2 linked regions of the Stegostoma tigrinum genome follow. Each later gene encodes a partner of the first gene's protein in a complex. Links are inferred from orthologs where the notes say so. Each region holds a gene or a part of one and is shown on either strand. Other genes may lie near its edges.

Region 1 (9,972 bases):
GGACCAAAACTATGGCCTTTCCAAGGTTCAAAACAAACTTAGCCAAATTAAAAGATTCAGAGAAAATAGTATGCCAATTATTGTGCACAAGAGATAGATGAACCCGATCTCCAGCTGTCCTGACCAAAGCCAAAGATGCTCCAATAAAAATTATTAGGTTCAGCATGAATGAACAATTCATTGTGTACATTGGCTAAGCCACACACCTGCCATTTCTCACTTTGAACTTCTCCAAAAAAGTAGTATCTCACAGCCATATTATTTCTGTCAGTGACAAATAACACAAGTTAAAAGAAGAATATGATACAAAGTCTATTGCTAGAATTTTTCTCAGTCATGGGAAGTGACATTACTGCCAAGGCTAGCATTTTTGGCCCATCACAAACTGCCATTGAGTTTCTCTCCCCTCTTCCCCAAGTGAATGCGAGATCTTTACACCTCATATTCCAAGCGAGCTAACCCTGATAAATTTCTCATCATAGAATTGTACAGTGCAGAACATGCCAATCTGCTCTATCTCGTCTCTGCCAGAAATTTGAAAGATATTTTTGATTAATCACACTCATTAGGAAATATCATTGATGAAGCACTAAAGACAGGAGTCCTTGAACGAATCATCTTAATCTGCTTCATCAAGGGCATTCCCTCTGTCATAAGGTCATAGCGGGAATGTTCGTTGAAAAGATTGCACACCATAAAGCACCACTTATTACTCATCAGAAATAGAAGCAGTCCACATCCAAATGCTGCAAGAACTGGACAGAATCCAGGTTTAGGCTGACAAGTGGCAAGTAACAGTCACATCTCTCAAATGCCAGATAATGACCATCTCCAACAGGAGAAAGCCTAACAACTATCTGTATACATTCAATGATATTATCACCTCTGAATTCCTCATGACCAACATCTAGGTTCTAACAATTGATCAGAAACTGAACTGAACCAGCAATTCAAATACAGTGTTTGTAAGAGCAAGATAGAGACCAACTCACCTCCTGATTCCCCAAAGCCTGCCCACCATCTGCAAGGCGTAAGCCAGGTGTATGATGGAATGTTCCTCACTTGCCTGGTGAGATAAGCTCCACCAACACTCAAGAAGATTGACACCATCCAGGACAAAACAGCCCACTTGATTGGTACCACATCCACAAATAATCACTCCTTTCATCACTGAACCTCAGTAGCAGTGTGTATGGCCTGCAATGATATATGTCAGAACTTCACTAAGCTTCCTTAGACAATACGTACAGCTCCCACTTCAAGTCTGTCACCATCCTGACTTGGAAATATATCACCATTCAGTATCACTGTCTCAAAATCATTCCCTAATAGCACTGTGGCTCTACCTACATCAAAGGAGCTACAGCAGTTCAAGAAGACACTCACCATCTCCTCTTCAGGTGCAATCTGCTTTAAAATGCCTCTTAATGTTTATTGCTTTGATCCATATTTTGATCATTTGTCCTCGTATCTTTGTAGTTGAGTTGGTATCAAATGTTACTTTGTAATCCTCTTCTAAAGCACCTTGTGATCATTTCATTTTGATACAATTTGCTATATAAATGTAGAGTAATGGAGCTGTACAGTATAGAAACAGATCCATCAGTCCAATTTGTCAATGCTGATTAGATATCCGAAATTAATCTACTTCTATTTGTCAGCATTTGATCTATATCCCTCCAAAGCCTTCCCATTCATATACCCTTCCAAATGCCTTTTAAATGCTGTAATTGTGCTAGCCTCCACCACTTCCTCTGACAGCTCATTCCATATATACACCACCCTTTGCACGAAAAAGTTGCTCTTTGATCTCGTTTAAAGCTTAAACTTATGCCCTCTCGTTTTGGGGTCCCTCACCCCGAGAAGAAGTCCTTGTCTACTCATCCTATTTATGCCCCTCATGATTTTATAAACCTCTATCGGGTCATCCCTCAGCCTCCGACGCACCATGGAAAATAGCCCCAGATTATTCAGTCTTTCTCTATAGCTCAAACTCTCCAACTCTGGCAATATCCTTGAAAATCTTTCTGAGCACTTTCAAGTCTCACAACATCCTTCCCATAGCAGAAAGACCTGAACTGAACACAGTTTTCCAAAAGCGGCTGAACCAACGTCTGGTACAGTCACAACATGACTTCCCAATTAAGAGATAACGAAGTGTAGATCTGGATGAACACAGCAGGCCAAGTAGCATCTTAGGAGAACAAAAGCTTATGTTTCAGGCCTAACCTGAAGAAGTTACCCTCCTGCCTCTGAAGAAACCTTTTCTGATGAAGGGTCTAGGCCCAGAACATCAGTTTTTGAGCTCCTAAGACGCTGCTTGGCCTGCTGTGTTCATCCAGCTCCACACTTTGTTATCTCGGATTCTCCAGCATCTGCAGTTCCCATTATCTATGACTTCCCAATTCCTGTACTCAATGCACTGACCAGTAAAGGCAAGCACACCAAAGAACTTCTTCACTATCCTGTCTATCTGCGACTCCACTTTCAAGGAACTATGAACCTGCACTCCAAGGACTTTGTTCAACAACACTCCCCAGGGTCTTACCATTAAGTGTATTAGTCCTGCCCTCATTTGCCTGTCTAAAATGCAGCACCTTACATTTATCTGAATTAAGCACCATCAGCCACTCCTTGGGTCATTGGCTCTTCTGATCACCATCCCATTTTTCTCTGAGGTAATGTTCTTCCCTGTCCACCACACCTCTAATTTTGGCATCATCTTCCAATTTACTAACCGTACCCCTGATGATCACATCCAAATCATTTGTATAAATGATGAAAAGTAGTGAATTGAGCAGCAATCCTCCTGGCACACCGCTGGTCACAGGCCTCCAGTCTGAAAGGTAACCCTCCACCACGTCCCTCTGTCTCCCACCTTCGAATCAATTCTATGCCCAAATGTCTAGTCTTCCTTGTTTTCTGTGAGATCTAACCTCCCTAAACAGTCTACTCACAGAACCTTGTTGAATGCCTTACTGAAGTCCATATAGATCATGTCCAATGCTCTGCCTTCATCAATGCTCTTTGTTACTTCTTCATAAAACTCAATCAAGTTAGTGAGACATGACTTCCCATGCACAAATCCATGCTGACAATCCCTAATCAGTCCTTGCCTTTCCAAATACATATAAGCCCTGTCTACCAGAATCCTCTCCAACAACTTGCTCACCACTGATGTCAGGCTCAGTGGGCTATAGATCCTGGCTTTTCCTTCCCACCTTTTTGAATAAGAGCAACAGATTAGCCAAACTCCAGTCTTCCAGCACCTCACTTGTGGTTATTGATGACAGAAATATCTCAGCAAGGGGCCCAGCAATCACTTCCTGAGCTTCCCACAGAGTTCTAGGATACACTGGATCAGGCCCCAGGGATTTATCCACTTTTATGCATTTTCAGGTGTCCAGCACCCCCTCCTCTGTAATATGGTCATTTTTCAAGAAGTTGTTCTTTATTTCTCGAAGTTCTTTAGCTTCCATAGTCTTCTCCACCATAAACACTGATGCAAAATACTTGTTTAGTGTCTGATCTATCTCCTGTGGTTCTACCCTTAGGCAGCCTTGCTGATCTTTAAGGGCCCTATTCATTTGCTGGTGACTCTTTTGCCTTAATGTATTTGTAGAATCCCTTTTGATTCTCCTTAACTCTATTTGTCAAAAGCTACCTCATGTCCCCCTTTTGGCTTTCTGATTTTCCTCTTAAGTATACTTCTACTGGATTTACTTAATCCCTGCAATCGATACCTGACATATGCTTCCTTCTTTATCTTGACCAAAATTTCAATTTCTCTAATCATCCAGCATTCCTTACACCTACTGACCTTGCCCTTCACCCAAACAGTAACATACTGTCTCTGGACACCTGGTATCTCATTTTTGAAGTCTTCCCATTTTTCAACCATCCCTTTACTTGGGAATATCTGTCCCCTATTAACTTCTGAAAGTTCTTGCCTAATGCCATCAAAACTAGCCTTCTTCCAATTTAGAACTTTAAACTTAAGATCCAGTCTATCCTTTTCCATCATTATCTTAAAACTAATAGAACTATGATCACTGGTCCCAAAGTGCTCCCCCACTCACACCTCAGCCATCTGCTCATAATTTGTTGTTAAACATTATAACTAAATCCACTTTCGCTGCCCTTTCAGAATAGTCCATTCCAGATCACAACAACTCACTACATAAAAGAAAATATGATCATTTCCCCTCTGGTTCCTTTTTCAATTATCTTCAACATCAAAAAGAGAGTAGAATGACAAAGTTGAATGGAACAAATCTCTACACAATAAGTTGCCAATCACTCTGTTTCAAAGAAATCAAGTATGTGATAGAAGGTAGCAGATGTCTTTCAGAATTCTCTACCTGTTCTCAATGGCAAGCACCACTTGAATGAGATTAAATTAGTTCCATGTCTTAGCAAAGCTATCTTCCTCTCTCCCCGCATAGAATGACTCATTCTCAGTCTTCAGAACTATCTGAGATCAAGAAGGAGAATTTTGTTGCAGCCTTTTGGATGATGCATGTCACTGAGGTTGCCTGAGGAAGTCAAAGATGCCTTTAACAATCTCAATGAAACTTTGCCAGGCAGACATCTACAACAGAGAAAGCAAAGCTTTCAAATCTAAGAGGGAACTAAGAAATGTGGGTAGTCCATAGCAGGTTGCTGAACATGTAGGAAGAAAATAGGCATGTCACTGAGTTTGGGGGGAGGTGGAAGGGTAGATAACCCATCACCCTGTGTTATCAATGATTTGGTGGATAATGTTGTTATGTCTGCGTCAGAAGGTTGTTTAGTTCAGATTTCAAACTGCTGGCCTTGAGCACATGACCTAATTTGACACAGGCAGTGCTGAACTACCAAAGTTCTGCTTTTCAGGTATAACATGCAAAAAAACAGGCGAATATAAATAATCTATGGTTATTTCAAGATGCTTGTGAGACCATGTTATACATAAATTGACTGCCTTGGTTCCTTCATTCTAATAGTGACTACAAATTTTAAAAAAACTTCCTTGATTATGAAATGCTTTGGGATGTCCTGAATCCCTGAAAGATGCTATAGAAATGCCAGTCTTCCATTAATTTTCTTTTAACTCAGATGGTTTGCATCCTCCAAAGTGTCAAATCCTTTGCATTTATCTTACATAGTTGTTTAATGACCTGCAAGTTACAGATCCTGCACCTATCTGTTCAGGAAGGTTTGGGGTGCACAGTGTACAGCAATGAATGATTGTGAACTGTTCTCTTCTCAAAACAGTAATCTCCACACATTCTAAGGATTCACATAAGTGGCACTTAATGAATATGGCAGTCAACTGCTTGATTATTTATATGAAAATTTCCTTGTAAATGTCAACGGAAGGAAGCCACAGGGCCAAGGACCAGCCACAAAGCACAATAACCCACGTGTCATGATGAAATGACCGTATTTGTGACTGTGGCAGAAACTGTCTGTTTAACATAATAAACCCTTTTCCAATCACCCAACTGTGCATCACCTTCAACTGAAAATCCATTCCAATGTCTTCAATTCCATTGAATCCCCAGCTCCCTCCTGGATGAATTTCATCTCACTGTATCAAGGGCTGACTTCTCAAGCGTCATGGGACAGAGCTATTGCTGAGGACGCTTTAGTTTAACGCCTCTCTCTCTCTGTTCTGTGTCCTTAAACCCCATCCAGTAACTTCCCGGTTGTTCGGACTCCTAGCCCCCGTTGCATTGCAGCCGGCGTTGTTTCAGCACCATGGACAGCGCAGAGCCCGCTCCGGTGCTCAGTTGATACCTTTAACTGATACTGCGGCCAGGTGCTGGCTCCGACACTCCAATCACAGGCGAGGGGAATGGGGAGGGGTTGACGTCAGCCCCCTCCAATAAAGCGGCGAATCACGTCCAGAATAAAAAAAAATCAGACGAGGTGGAGATGGATCAACCAGTGCCACAGACAGCCTGGATGCCCAGGCACCAACAGTGTTCCCTTCGCATATAACGTGAGGAACGCTGAGCTTCTCGCTACTGCTGCCCTGAGTGAGCTCAATTCACCCAGAGCATTGCACTGACCAGGAGGTGCGTCGCACTTATCACATCTGAGGATCTGCTGAAGTTTTGAATCAACAGTGCTCCTTTTTTTAATTTGAAAAAAATCCCTTACGTTCTGCTAAAAACAAAAGAAAAACATTGCAATGGAGCTACTCGCCCAGCCCTGCATTGATCTAGCTGCCAACGGGTCCCAGCTCTGCCAGACTAGCCTGACCACCATGAATTCCAGCCTGGGCTCAGCCAACTGGTCATATCTCTGCATCAACTCGAGCTCGAACCCGTGTAACGGCACCGAGAACGTCCCTCTGAGCAAGAGTTCGGCTTCAATCATCATCGCCATCATCATCACTGCTCTTTACTCCATTGTCTGTGTGCTGGGACTGGTGGGCAACGTCCTGGTCATGTATGTGATTGTCAGGTAACGTACAGTCTCAACTCCAAGACATCCGTCCTTCCCCTCTCGCTGCCTCTCTATCTGTGTGTCTTTCCGTCTGTCTGTCTCTCTCTCTCTCTCTGGCTCTCTCGCGAAACCTCTGTCAGCATCAATGGATTTTGACTAGAGTACCATCTCTCACTCGCCTCACTTCATTGATTGGTAGTATTGGCGTCTAACTTCAGTACAATGTTCTTGTTTACATATAAGCCAATGTGCATAACCTTACGAACTACTGCACATTCAATGTTGATGCATGGATTTGAGAGGTTCGGCACAGTTCAATTTCGTAGAGATGAATTGCGTGAATTTCACGTTAATAACTGCGTATCTGTGGACTGATTGAATGTTTATGGATTAATAGCTGTATTTAATAGATATCTGTGGGGCGGGATGGGTTTGCCACTTGTCTTAGTTGCTCAAACAGCGCCATCTAACCGGTAAGTGTGGGAATGCAGCGTCTAAAGAACCCTCAGATGGACCCTCGTTTCAAATCGTGCAGTCAATCCTCAACGTACATTTTTACTTCTTTATAAACTCCTTTCTCACGTTTTCAATAGGAACTACCTTTAAGCGCTCCTCAAAACCTAATTACAACTCCTCCACTCTCCTCTCACCAACACCTCTCCCCAACCCCATCCATATTCACTGGTGAAACTCTAGTGCTATCCCTGAGGGAAGGACAAAATTGACATCGTGACATACTGATAGAGAAAATCACACATGCTTCCTCCTTTCAACCAACTGCATTCTAACACCGGCGTGGCATCCAACTCCACCCCAGTCTGCAGACCAGGTCATCAAGAGCCGAAGGAAGATGACACAGTCTCAGGCTATCAGCAAATTTGAATGACTCGATATTTCAATCTGAGACAACAACAGAGAATGCCAGAAAAACTCAGCAAATCTGGCAGCACATCCGTAGAGAGAGGATCCGAGTGAATAGTTTGAGGTTCGTATGACTTGTTCACACCGAAAGGTGCTGCAAAAAAGGTTCTTGTTCTCTTTTCCTATTCTCGAGTAATAATAGCTCTATTACAATTTAATAACCATCCAAACCCACCCACCACTCAATATCCTTTTTTTTAATTCACTCATGGGATGTGGATATAGCTGGGCCAGCCAACATTTATTGCCCATCCCTAGTTGCCCTTGAGAAGGTGGTAGTGACCTGCCTTCTTGAAACAATGCTGTCCATGTGCTGTAGATAGACCCACAAAACCCTTAGGGAAGGAATTCCAGAATTTTGAACTAGTGACAGTTAAGAAACAGCAATATATTTCCAAGTCAGGATGGTACATGGCTTAGAAGGAACTTGTAGGTGGTGATGTTCCTATGTCCTTCTAGATGAAAGTGGTTATGAGGTTGGAGTGTGCTGTCTGACCATTTTTGGTGAATTTCTGCACTGTATCTTGTCGATAGTACACATTTCTGCTTCTGAGCATCAGAGGGGAGGGGCGTGGATGTTTGTGGATGTCATGCCAATCAAGCAATAGACAATAGACAATAGGTGCTGGAGTAGGCCATTCAGCCCTTCAAGCCAGCACCACCATTCATTATGATCATGGCTGATCATCCACAATCAGTACCCTGTTCATGCCTTATCCCCATAACCCTTGATCCCACTATCTTTAAGACCTCTATCCATCTCTTTCTTGAAAATATCCAGAGAGTTGGCCTCCACTGCCTTCTGGGGCAGAGCATTTCATATATCCACCACTCTCTGGGTGAAGAAGTTTTTCCTCAACTCTGTTCTAAATGGCCTAACCCTTATTTTTAAACTGTGTCCTCTGGTCCTGGACTCACCCATCAGCGGAAACATGCTTCCTGCCTCCACAGTGTCCAATCCCTTAATAATCTTATACGTCTCAATCAGATCCCCTCTCATCCTTCTAAACTCAAGGGTATACAAGCCCAGTCGCTCCAATCTTTCAACATATGATAGTCCCGCCATTCCGGGAATTGACCTTGTGAACCTACGCTGCACTCCATCAATAGCAAGAATGTCCTTCCTCAAATTGGGAGACCAAAACTGCACACAATACTCCAGGTGCGGTCTCACCAGGGCCCTGTACAGCTGCAGAAGGACCTCTTTGCTCCTATACTCAATTCCCCTTGTTATGAAGGCCAGCATGCCATTAGCTTTCTTCACTACCTGCTGCACCTGCATGCTTGCTTTCATTGACTGATGTACAAGAACACCTAGACCTCGTTGTGCTTCCTGGATGGTGTCAAGTTTCTTGAGTGTTGTTGGGGCTGCATTCATCCAGGCAAATGGGAAGCATTCCATCACACTCCTGATTTGTGCCTTGTCGATGGTGAACAGGCTTTGGGGAGTCAGGAGGTGAGTTATTAATTGTAGGATTCCTAGTATCTGATCTGATCTTGTAACCATTGTGTTTATGTGGTGAGTCCAGTTGAGTTCAATGTTAATGCCAAAGATGTTGATTGTAAGGTCACACCATTAAATGTGAAGGGACGGTAGTTACATTGTCTCTTATTGGGAATTAGCTGGCATTTGTATGGCATTAATGTTACTTGCCACTTGTCGGCCCAAACCTAGACATTGTCTAGATCCTGTTGCATTTGGACATGAACTGCTTCAGTATCTGAGGAATCGCAACAGGTTCACCAATGATTGCACATCTCCTCTTCTAACTTTATGATGGAGAATAGATCATTAGTGAAGCAGCTGAAGATGGAAGGGCCTAGGACAGTACCCTGAGGAACTCCTGTTGCGATGTCCTGGATCTGAAATGGCTGCCCTGCAACAACCACAGTCAGTACCTATGTGCTGGTATGACTTCAACCTGCAGAAAGTTTGCCCTTTGTTACCCATTGACTCTAATTTTCCTAGGCTCCTTGGTGCCATTATTCTTTTCACAAGACATTTCCTTGCTCTCTAACTTTACCTTGCAATCAATGACAATTGATTGACTTGAACTGCAGGATGCTGAATCTCTGTTTGAAAGGGTAGTGTAGAAGGAACTTTATTGTTTTGTCCTAGCAAACATTCCCAGGGAAAATTGCAGGTTAACCAGTGAAGGAATCTGTCTTTTCAATGAGATGTCAAATGGAGGCATTACCCAAACCCTTCCATCTGCTCCCATATGTAACAAAATAAGTCATGACACTTTTTCAAGCAGGTACAATGGGAAAGATGATCTCAGTGATCTGATCAATATCTATCTATCCATCAATCAATGTCACAATCAAAAACAGATTATCTGATTGAGAGATTGTAAGAACTGCTGATGCTGGAGTCAAAGATAACACAGCGTGGAGCTGGGGGATCTCAGCAGGCCAGGCAGGATCAGAAGAACAGGAAAGCTGAAGCTTCAGGTCCAGCCCCTTCTTCAGAAATGGGGGAGGGGGAAGGGAGCTCTGAAATAAATAGGGAAAGCAGTGGTGGGTCTGGGGAAGGCAGGTGGGATGGTGATAGGTGAGTGCAAGTGGGCAGTGGTGGGGATTGATCAGTGAGGTGGGAGGAGCAGATAGGTGGGA
Region 2 (9,848 bases), about 3.6 Mb from region 1:
TAAACAGAATGCAGACATTCATTTTGAGCGGGCTAGAAGGCTTGAGCAGGAATGTACTGCTGAGATTGAATAAGGGTCTGGTCAGACTGCCTTTAGAATATTGTGGCCATTTTTGGGTCCCCGAGGAAGGATGTGCTGGCCTTTGTGATGGTCCAAAGGAAGTTCACAAGGTTGATCCTGGGAACAAAGGGCTTGTTACATGAAGAGATGCCAGTCTTCAGCTGGTTCGATTCACTCCGCATGATGTCAAGTAATGGTTGGAGACACTGAATATTGAAAAGGCTATGAACCTGACAACATTCCTGCAATAGTACTGAAGACTTATGCTCCGGAACTTGCCGCTCCCCCAGCCAAGCTGTTCCAGTACAGTTACAAGGCTGGCATCTACCTGACAATTTGGAAAATTGCCTAGGTATATCCTTCACATAAAAAGCAGGACATATTCAACTTAGCCAATTACCACCCCATCAAACTACTCTCCATCATACAGTAAAGTGATGGAAGGTGTCAGTAACAGCGCTATCAAGCAGCACCTGCTCAGCAATAACCCGCTCAATGACGCCCAGTTTGGGTTCCACCAGGGCCACTCAGCTCCTGACCTCATTACAGCCTCGGTTCAAACATGGACAAAAGAGCTGAATTCCAGAGGTGAGGTGAGAGTGACAGCCCTTGATATGAAGGCTGCATTCAACCGAGTGCGGCATCAAGGAGCCCTAGCAAAACTGGAATTGATGAGCATCAGGGTGCAAACTCTCTGCTGGTTGGAGTCATAACTGGCATATAGGAGGTAGTTGGTGGTCAGTCATCTCAGCTCCAGGACATCACTGCAGGAGGTCCTCAGGATAGTACAATGGGATTATTGTACAAAATGCGGAGGAATGGAATTATTGCACAAAATGCGGAGGAATGGAATTGTGGGAGATATAGCAGTTTGGATCGGAAATTGGCTTGCTGAAAGAAGACAGAGGGTGGTAGTTGATGGGAAATGTTCATCCTGGAGACCAGTTACTAGTGGTGTACCACGAGGGTCGGTGTTGGGTCCACTGCTGTTTGTCATTTTTAGAAATGACCTGGATGAGGGCGTAGAAGGATGAAGTAAATTTGCAGACAACACTAAGTTCGGTGGAGTTGTGGATAGTGACGAAGGATGCTGTAAGTTGCAGAGAGACATAGATAAGCTGCAGAGCTGGGCTGAGAGGTGGCAAATGGAGTTTAATGCAGACAAGTGTGAGGTGATGCACTTTGGTAGGAGTAACCGGAAGGCAAAGTACTGGGCTAATGGTAAGATTCTTAGTAGTGTAGATGAGCAGAGAGATCTCGGTGTCCATATACACAGATCCTTGAAAGTTGCCACCCAGGTTGACAAGGCTGTTAAGGAGGCGTACAGTGCTTTAGCTTTTATTAATAGAGGGATCGAGTTCCGGAACCAAGAGGTTATGCTGCAGCTGTACAAAACTCTGGTGTGGCCACACTTGGAGTATTGCGTACAGTTCTGGTCACCACGTTATAAGAAGGATGTGGAAGCTTTGGAAAGGGTGCAGAGGAGATTTACTAGGATGTTGCCTGGTATGGAGGGAAGGTCTTACGAGGAAAGGCTGAGGGACTTGAGGCTGTTTTCATTAGAGAGTAGAAGGCTGAGAGGTGACTTAATTGAAACATATAAAATAATCAGGGGGTTAGATAGGGTGGATAGGAAGAGCCTTTTTCCTAGGATGGTGACAGCGAGCACGAGGGGGCATAGCTTTAAATTGAGGGGCGAAAGATATAGGACAGATGTCAGAGGTAGTTTTTTTACTCAGAGAGTAGTAAAGGAATGGAACGCTTTGCCTGCAACGGTAGTAGATTCGCCAACTTCAGGTACATTTAAGTCGTCATTGGACAAGCATATGGACGTACATGAAATAGTGTAGGTTAGATGGGCTTGAGATTGGTATGACAGGTTGGCACAACATCGAGGGCCGAAGGGCCTGTACTGTGCTGTAATGTTCTATGTTCTCTGTGATGGCGAGCACGAGGGGGCATAGCTTTAAATTGAGGGGTGAAAGATATTGGACAGGTGTTAGAGGTAGTTTCTTTACTCAGAGAATAGTAAGGGAATGGAACGCTTTGCCTGCAATGGTTGTAGATTCGCCAACTCTAGGTACATTTAAGTCGTCATTGGATGAGCATATGGACGTACATGGAATAGTGTAGGTTAGATGGGCTTCAGATCGGTATGACAGGTCGGCACAACATCGAGGGCCGAAGGGCCTGTACTGTGCTGTTATGTTCTATGATAGTCCTAGGTCCACCTATCTTCAGCTGCTTCATCAATGACCTTCCTTCCATGATAAGGTCAGAAGGGGGGATGTTCAATGAGATTGCATAATGTTGAGCACTACTTATGAGTCCTCTAATACTGAAGCAGTCCATGTACACATGCATCAAGATCCGAACAATATCCAGGCTTGGGCTGACAAGTGGCAAGTAACATTGGCGCCACACAAATACCAGGCAATGACCATCTCCAACAGACAACAATCTAACCACGGCTCCTGGACATTCAATGGCGTTACCATCACTGAAGACCCAACTATAACATCTTGGGGGTTACCTCTGACCAGAAACTCAACTGGTCTTGCCATATAAACACAGTGACTACAAGAGCAGGTCAGAGGCTGGGACTACTGCCACGAGTAACTCACCTCCTGATTCACCAAACCACCTACAAGGCACAAGTCAGGAGTGTGATGGAATAAGGTCAATTTGCCTGGATGAGGGCAGCCGCAACAACACTCAAGAAGCTTAACAACATCCAGAACGAAGCAACCTGCTTGATTGCCACTACATCCACTCCCTCCACCACTGATGCTCAGTAATAGCAATGTGCAATACCCATAAGATGCAGTACAGAAACTCACCAAACATCCTCAGACAGCACCTCCCAAACCCACAACCTCTTCCATCTTGAAGGACTAGGGTGGCAGATACATAGAACCACCATCACTTACAAGTTTCCCGCAGTCACTCACCATCCTGACTTGGAAATATGTTGCTGATCCTTCACTGGAAATCCTGGAATTCTCTCCCTAATAGCATTGTGAGTCAACCCACATCAGGTGGACTGTAGCAGTTCAAGAAGGCAACTCATTACCACCTTCTCAAAGGCAACTAGGGACAGGCAAAAAATTCTAGCCCAGACAGTGACACTCACATTCCACAAATGAATCAAAAAAGGAGCGGTTAGAGAAATATCAGTATCTACTTGCTGGAGTTTTGAAGGATGAGTGGGGAATCTCCTTATAACTTACAGAAACCTTTGGGGCCAGGATATAGTGGATGTGGAATAGATATTTCCACTAGGAGGAGTGGCCAGGGCAAGGACACAGCCTCAGAGTGAAGGGATGACCCTTTAGAACCGCGATGAGGCGAAATTTCTTCAGCCAAAAGGTGGAGAATCTGTAGAACTCATTGTTGCAGAAGGCTGTGGAGGCCAAGTTATTGAGTTTTTTTCCTTCTTTATTCATTCACCTGATGATTGCATCACTAGCCAGGAAGCATTTTTGCCCATCCTTAATTGCCTAGGGAATAGTTCAGAGTCAACCACGTTGCTGTGGGTATGGAGTCACATATAGGCCAGGCCAGGTATGGATGGCAGTTTCCTTCCCTAAAGGATATTAGTGAACCAGGTGGGCTTTTGACAATTGACAATGTATTCACGGTCATCATTAGGCTCTTAATTCCAGATATTTTATTGAATTCAAATTCACCATCTGCTGTGGCAGGTATTGAGCCTGGGTCTTGAGAACACTATCTGGGTCACTGGATTAATAGTCCAGCGATAATACCACTAGGCCATTACCTTTAAGACAGAGATAGATATATTTTTGATTTGTCAGGGGACCAAAGGTTATGGGCAGTAAGCGAAAGAATAGAATTAAGAAACATATTAGCCATAATCTAATGGTGGAACAAACCCCATGGGCTGAATGACCTAATTCAACTCCTACATCTTATGATCTTATCAATACTGCTTGAGGTTTCCTTGAAAAACTCCAATAAATTAGTAAGACACAATTTCACCTTCATGAAGTCACACTGACTGTGCTTGATCAGATTATGATCTTCAACCATTCAACAAAGGCTTGACTATGTATTTAGAAACTGACATATTTATATAGTTGTTAATGTTTTATGGTTGTTGGGAGACTCTCATCCAGACTCCTGATGTCTGGTGATGGTTGTATACAAGTGACGAGATGGGCCACCAAAAGCTGACACTAATGAACATCACTGCCAGGCTGTGCAAGTTGGGCCCATCTCCTCCTACCCTCCAGCAACAAATTAGAGAGGTCATTATGTACACTTTGACTTTCTTTATCCACCCACACAGCTCTAATGGGTCTGAGTGGAATCGAGTAAGATCAGGCCCCAGATGTGTACAGCTTCATCCTAATGCGTTCTTCAACTTGCGCACTTTACAGCGTATTATTAAAAAAAACACTTAAAAGGCTCTTTTCCTTTTTTCAACATTAGTGCAAGGTACACACAGATGGGGCAGCTTTCAGAGTATCCTAAGGAGGAAATTAGACTCATGGATTGTTTCCTCTGCTGATGGACAAATATCTACCTGACTCATTTCTCAAGGTTTTCAGTGTTTTCAGTTCAGTGTTATATTTAATGAAATGAGATTCAAGAAAAGCAAGATTGATTGAATATACAGGAGGCTTGAGTGCCTCTCTTCTAAACAGCTGAACAGTCAAGCACTTACACTCTTGAAGACTCACAGATGTAGCCTTGTAGCACACAACCTGATCTGCCAGGTTTGTTCCTGTCAGTAGGCTCACTCTGGCTTCAGCTATATCTCCTCTGCCTAAGTCCCAGCTTGTACCCATTCTCGGGTTTTAGGGAGAAAGGAAAGAGAAGAGAAAGGGAAAATGTTCCAAGTCAACAAGGGGCTCGAGTTTAAGCAAGCCCTCAATGTGATACAAAAAAAAATCAAGTTAGCCAGTTCAAAATCACTGACCAGCATCTTCTGAATGGACCTGGGACAGACACCTAAACACAGATTTTTCGTTCTTGTACACTGAAGGCTAGCAGGAAAGGACAGAGTAAAGCCTCTAAAACAATTCACTGGTGAACTCCTGTGGTCATCTTTGTTCCCATCAGATACAGGATCTCACAACCCAAAGTTTCCCAGTCACTCTGGTCCCTGAGCTCCATATTCCCCAGTCACACTAATGCTAAAGGCTCCTGATCTCCCCATAACCCTGGTCCCACTGTCCACTTTCTCCATGTTGTCCTGTTCTCTCTGTCACTCTGGTCCCAAAGACCCATATTCCTCCAGTCACCCTAGTTGCAAAGCCTTCTAAACTTCTCCCCCCACCCACCATCACCCCAATCCCACTGTCCCCTTTCTGGTCCCACAACCTTCCGAACTCCTCTGTCAATGTGGTTGCATAGCCCTGTTCTCCCCATTACCTTTTTCTTTCTTGGTGTGAGTTGTTTTCTGACCTTTACAGACTATTGTGATATGGAAAAGAATTTCGTTCCAGTAAGTGAGGAGGGCAGGTGGCCTGTTGCCTTGTCACCGGAGAAAATCATACACAAAAAGACAGGAGATGTGAGCTTGTGTTCACACTGCCTCTAATTGTCCATTTAATTTGATGTTGATCTATTGAAACGTTGCTGTGTAAATGCACACTGAAGCTTAAAATCAGCGTTTCATTGAGAGGAAAGGTTTGGAAATTAAAAACGGTGTCATCAGTGGCCAATGAAGTTTTTGAAAGGTGTTAGATTTTGAGAGGATGCCGTGAAATTTCCTGTGGGGAGACGTGCTAATCCTCCTCACTGTGTAACCAGTGGAAATGGTTCTATTTACACATGCGACGTCTGTTAAAAGCTCTGATTCCTTTGGAGTGCTGGCAGTTTCAGATTTCCTACAATTATTGTCCTTGAAAAGGTTGATTTAATCGTGATGACGTGTTTGATTGAAGTACAAATAGGAAGAATGGTATAAAAAGGCAGAGAGTTGCAGTCAAAGCAGATACAGAAACAGAGCTTCCACGAGAAGTGTCTTTGCAACAAGAACAGGTAAGGGAATTCTGGACTTAGCATGCAATTGTTAATAAATGGGGTAGAAACAAGTTACTCGTTTAATAACAACTAGCTTAAGTCGACGATATTTTTGTAGGAATTTTATTATTCAGCGTTTACTGCGTAAATCCTGGACTATTGTAAGATTTTTCAGATATTCCAGGACTGCATCCCACTCACTGTACCAGCCTGCTGTCCAATCTCCAATATGCTCCACATGCTTCAACCTGCTGTCCAGTCTCTGGCACACTCCAAAGCCTGACGCCTGCTGTCTAATCTCCAGTGGATTCAACATGCAACAGCCGACTGTCCGGTCTCTCCTACACTCGATATCCCATAGCCCGCTCTACAGTCTCTTCTACACTCCACAAGTCACAGCCCACTGTCCAGTCTCTCCTACAGTGTACAATTCACAGCCTGCTGTCCAGTCTCTGCTCCACTGTATACCCCACAGATTAGTGTCCAATTTCTGCTAGACTCTACACCCCACAGACTGCTGTCCAGTCTCTCCCACACTCTACACCCCACAGATTAGTGTCCAGGCTCTCCTACACTCTACACTCCACAGACTGGTTTCCAGTCTCTCCTACACTCAGCACCCCACAACTCACTGTCCAGCCTCTCCTACACTCTACACTCCACAACCCCTGTTCAGTCTCTCCTACGCTCTACACCCTACAGCCTGCTGTCCAGTCTCTCCTACACTCTATAATTCACTGCCTGCTGTACAGTCTTCCCTACACTCTGCACACCACAGCCCGCTGTCCAGTCTCTCCTACACTCTACTCCTCACAGCCCATTGTCCAGACTTTCCTACACTCTACACCCCACAGAGCACTGTCCAGTCTCTCCTACGCGTTACGCCCCACAGACCGGCGTCCAGTCTCTCCTACACTCTGCACCCCACAGCCCCTCGTGCAGTCTCTCCGACACTCTACACCTTACAGCCCGCTGTCCACTCTCTCCTACATGCTATAATTCACAGCCCGCTGTACAGTCTCTCCTACACTCTGCACCCCACAGCCTGCTGTCCAGCCTTGCCGACACTCCACACCCTGCAGCCTTCTGTCCAGTTTCATCATACATTTCGTACACTGTGGCCTGGTGTGTAGTCTGTCCTACATTCCACCCCTGCACATACCGTCTCGTCTCTTATAAACTCTACACTCTGAGACTTGTGTTCAATCTTTCCTACAATCCAGATCCTGCGGGTGATGTCCAGTTTTCTCTGCTGTCCACACTCTGTAGCATTCCTGCCATTTGGTCAGAGATTATACGGTTCAAGTCCTGACACAAACAGTCCGAGGCACAGGAGACAGGCTCTCCAGTGGGATACTGTGTCCAGTGGTTGTTCCTTTCTTCTCTTATTTCCTTCAACACTGGAATAAACTGGAATCTCACCTGACCCACCATCACATACTTGTGAATTGTTGGTTAGCTGCAGCAAAGGTGTAAGTTTATTTTAAGACAAGACTACACCAGTTTCTAATTTAAATTCAGAAAATTTTTACTGTGTCAGTAAAGAGCCAATTACAAAGCTGTCTTAAATGAGAGAAAGACCAATTTTGTAATCTGAAAACCCCAAAAAAGTCATAGTAAACGAAAATATATATGAACACTTGAACAAGGAATGAAAGTAGGCCACTTGGCCCCTTGAACCGACTCCACCATTTAATATGATCATGGCTGATTTCGTCACAGCTGCAACTCCACTTTCCTGCTTACTTCCCACAGCTCTTACATTTGTTACTAGTTACAAATCTGTTCGTTTCCTCCTTAAATTTGCTTAGATGTTTTTAAGATGGGTCACCAAACTTGAAATGTGAACTCTTTATACATGATACCAGATTTGCTGAGTTTCTCCAGCTATTTCTATTTTCATTCCAATTATGTCACCCCTGGCTCTTCTAAACTCCAGTGGATGCTGGCATAGCCTGTCTAACATTTCTTTATAAGGCATTCTGCTCATTGCAGCTATTGTTCTAGAAAACCTTTGCTGAACTGCTTCCAACACATTAACATCTTTGTGTAAGTATGATGACCATTACTATACATAGTTCTCCAAATGCAGTCTCATCAATGCCTTGTGCAACTGAAACATAACCACGGGTCCTAGTCTCCCCGCCTAACGGAAACAACTTCCCAGCGTCCACCCCTTCTAAACCATACATTATCTTGTAAGTTTCTATTAGATCTCCCCTCAACCTTCTAAACTCTAATGAGTACAAGCCCAGGATCCTTAGCCGTTCATTATACGTTAAACCTACCATTCCAGGGATCATCCGTGTGAATCTCCGCTGGACACGCTCCAGGGCTAGTATGTCTTTCCTGAGGTGTGGGGCCCAGAATTGGACACAGTATTCTAAATGGGGCCTAACTAAAGCCTCAGAAGCACATCACTGCCTTTATATTCCAACCCTCTTGAGATAAACGACAACATTACATTCGCTTTCTTAATCACAGACTCTACCTGCAAGTTAACCTTTAGACAGTCCTGGACCAACACTCCCACATCCCTCTGTACTTCTGCTTTATGAATTTTCTCATCATTTAGAAAATAGTCCCCACATCCCTTTGTACTTCTGCTTTATGAATTTTCTCACCATCTAGAAAATAGTCCATGCCTGTATTCTTTTTTCCAAACCCCAATTTTAAACAATCATGAGGGAAAGTGGTTGATGCTGTCTACATGGACTTCACTGAAGCCTTTGACAAGGTCCGTCATGGCAGTGGGTACAAAACATGAAGTCACATGGTATTAGGGTGAGCTGGCAAGATGGATACAGAACTGACTTAGCCATAGAAGACGGAGATAGTGGTGCAAGGATTCTTTTCAGAATGGAGGGTTGTGACTAGTGGTGTCCCACAGAGATCAGTGCTGGCACCTCTGCTGTTCATGGTCTACGTAGATGATTTGGAAGAAAACGTAATTGGTCTAATCAATACATTTGCAGAGGATACGAAGATTGGTGGAGTTGTGGATAATGAGGAGGACTGTCAGAAGATGCAGCAGAATATAGATCAGTTAGATGCATGGTCAAAACATTGGCAGATGGAGTTTAATTCCGGTAAATGTGACGTGATGCATTTTGGAAGGTCAAGTTACAGATGGAAATTATACAGTGAATGGCAGAACCCTTCAGAGTATTGAATTGCAGGGAGATCCGGGTGTGCATGTTAACAGATCACTGAAGGTGACAGTCCAGGTAGATAAGGCAGTAAAAAAAAAACGCTTATGGCATGATGGTCTTCAATAGAAGGGGCATTGACTATAAGGATCGGCAAGTTATGCTGTAGCTTTATAAAACTTTAGTTCGATCACACTTAGAATATTGTGTCCATTCTGGTCACCACACTACTAGAGGATGTGGATGCTTCTGAGAGAGCACTGAAAAGGTTTACCAAAATGTTGCATGGTATGATGGATTTTAGCTCAAAAGAAAGGTTGGATAGATTGGGTTTGTTTTCACAGAATGCAGGAGGTTGCGGGGTGGCCTGATAGAAGTTTATAAGATTGTGAATGGCATGAATCGAGTGGGAAGTATGAGGGTGGAGGGGTCAATTACTTGGGGACACAGGTTCAAGGTGTGGGCAGAGGAAAGTTTAAAAGAGATGTGTGACGCAGGTTTTTCATGCAAAGGGTGGTGAGTGCCTGGAATACGCTGCCAGAGGAGGTGATCAAAGCAGATACAAGAGAGAGAGAGAAACTGAGGGAGCTGGGCAGAGAGAAATATAGAGAGTTGGAGAAAGCAAGAGAGAAGGAAAGCTGGAGA

What was found.
Region 2: the proteins of oprm1 (region 1) and pomca are in contact, whole or in part, in a cryo-EM structure (PDB 8F7Q), measured with the Homo sapiens proteins. The link is inferred for Stegostoma tigrinum from reciprocal best matches to the Homo sapiens genes OPRM1 and POMC. Residues at the interface, in NP_000905.3 of Homo sapiens: Ser66, Met67, Ala70, Ile71, Met74, Gln126, Asn129, Tyr130, Leu131, Met132, Gly133, Trp135, Val145, Ile146, Asp149, Tyr150, Met153, Arg213, Ile217, Asp218, Cys219, Thr220, Glu231, Lys235, Val238, Ile298, Val302, Lys305, Trp320, Ile324; in NP_000930.1 of Homo sapiens: Tyr237, Gly238, Gly239, Phe240, Met241, Thr242, Ser243, Glu244, Lys245, Thr248, Pro249, Leu250, Val251, Leu253.

What each region holds. Positions count from the first base shown.
Region 1 is NC_081362.1:94,687,906-94,697,877, forward strand, and holds the start of oprm1 (mu-type opioid receptor), read left to right. Parts: upstream 1-5,927; 5' UTR 5,928-6,178; coding exon 6,179-6,453; intron 6,454-9,972. UniProt on the Homo sapiens protein: Receptor for endogenous opioids such as beta-endorphin and endomorphin. Receptor for natural and synthetic opioids including morphine, heroin, DAMGO, fentanyl, etorphine, buprenorphin and methadone.
Region 2 is NC_081362.1:98,312,016-98,321,863, reverse strand, and holds the start of pomca (proopiomelanocortin a), read left to right. Parts: upstream 1-5,996; 5' UTR 5,997-6,072; intron 6,073-6,255; coding exon of another isoform or gene 6,256-6,370; intron 6,371-9,848. Other genes in the region: fibrinogen-like protein 1, read right to left, coding at 5,461-5,562, 6,256-6,370.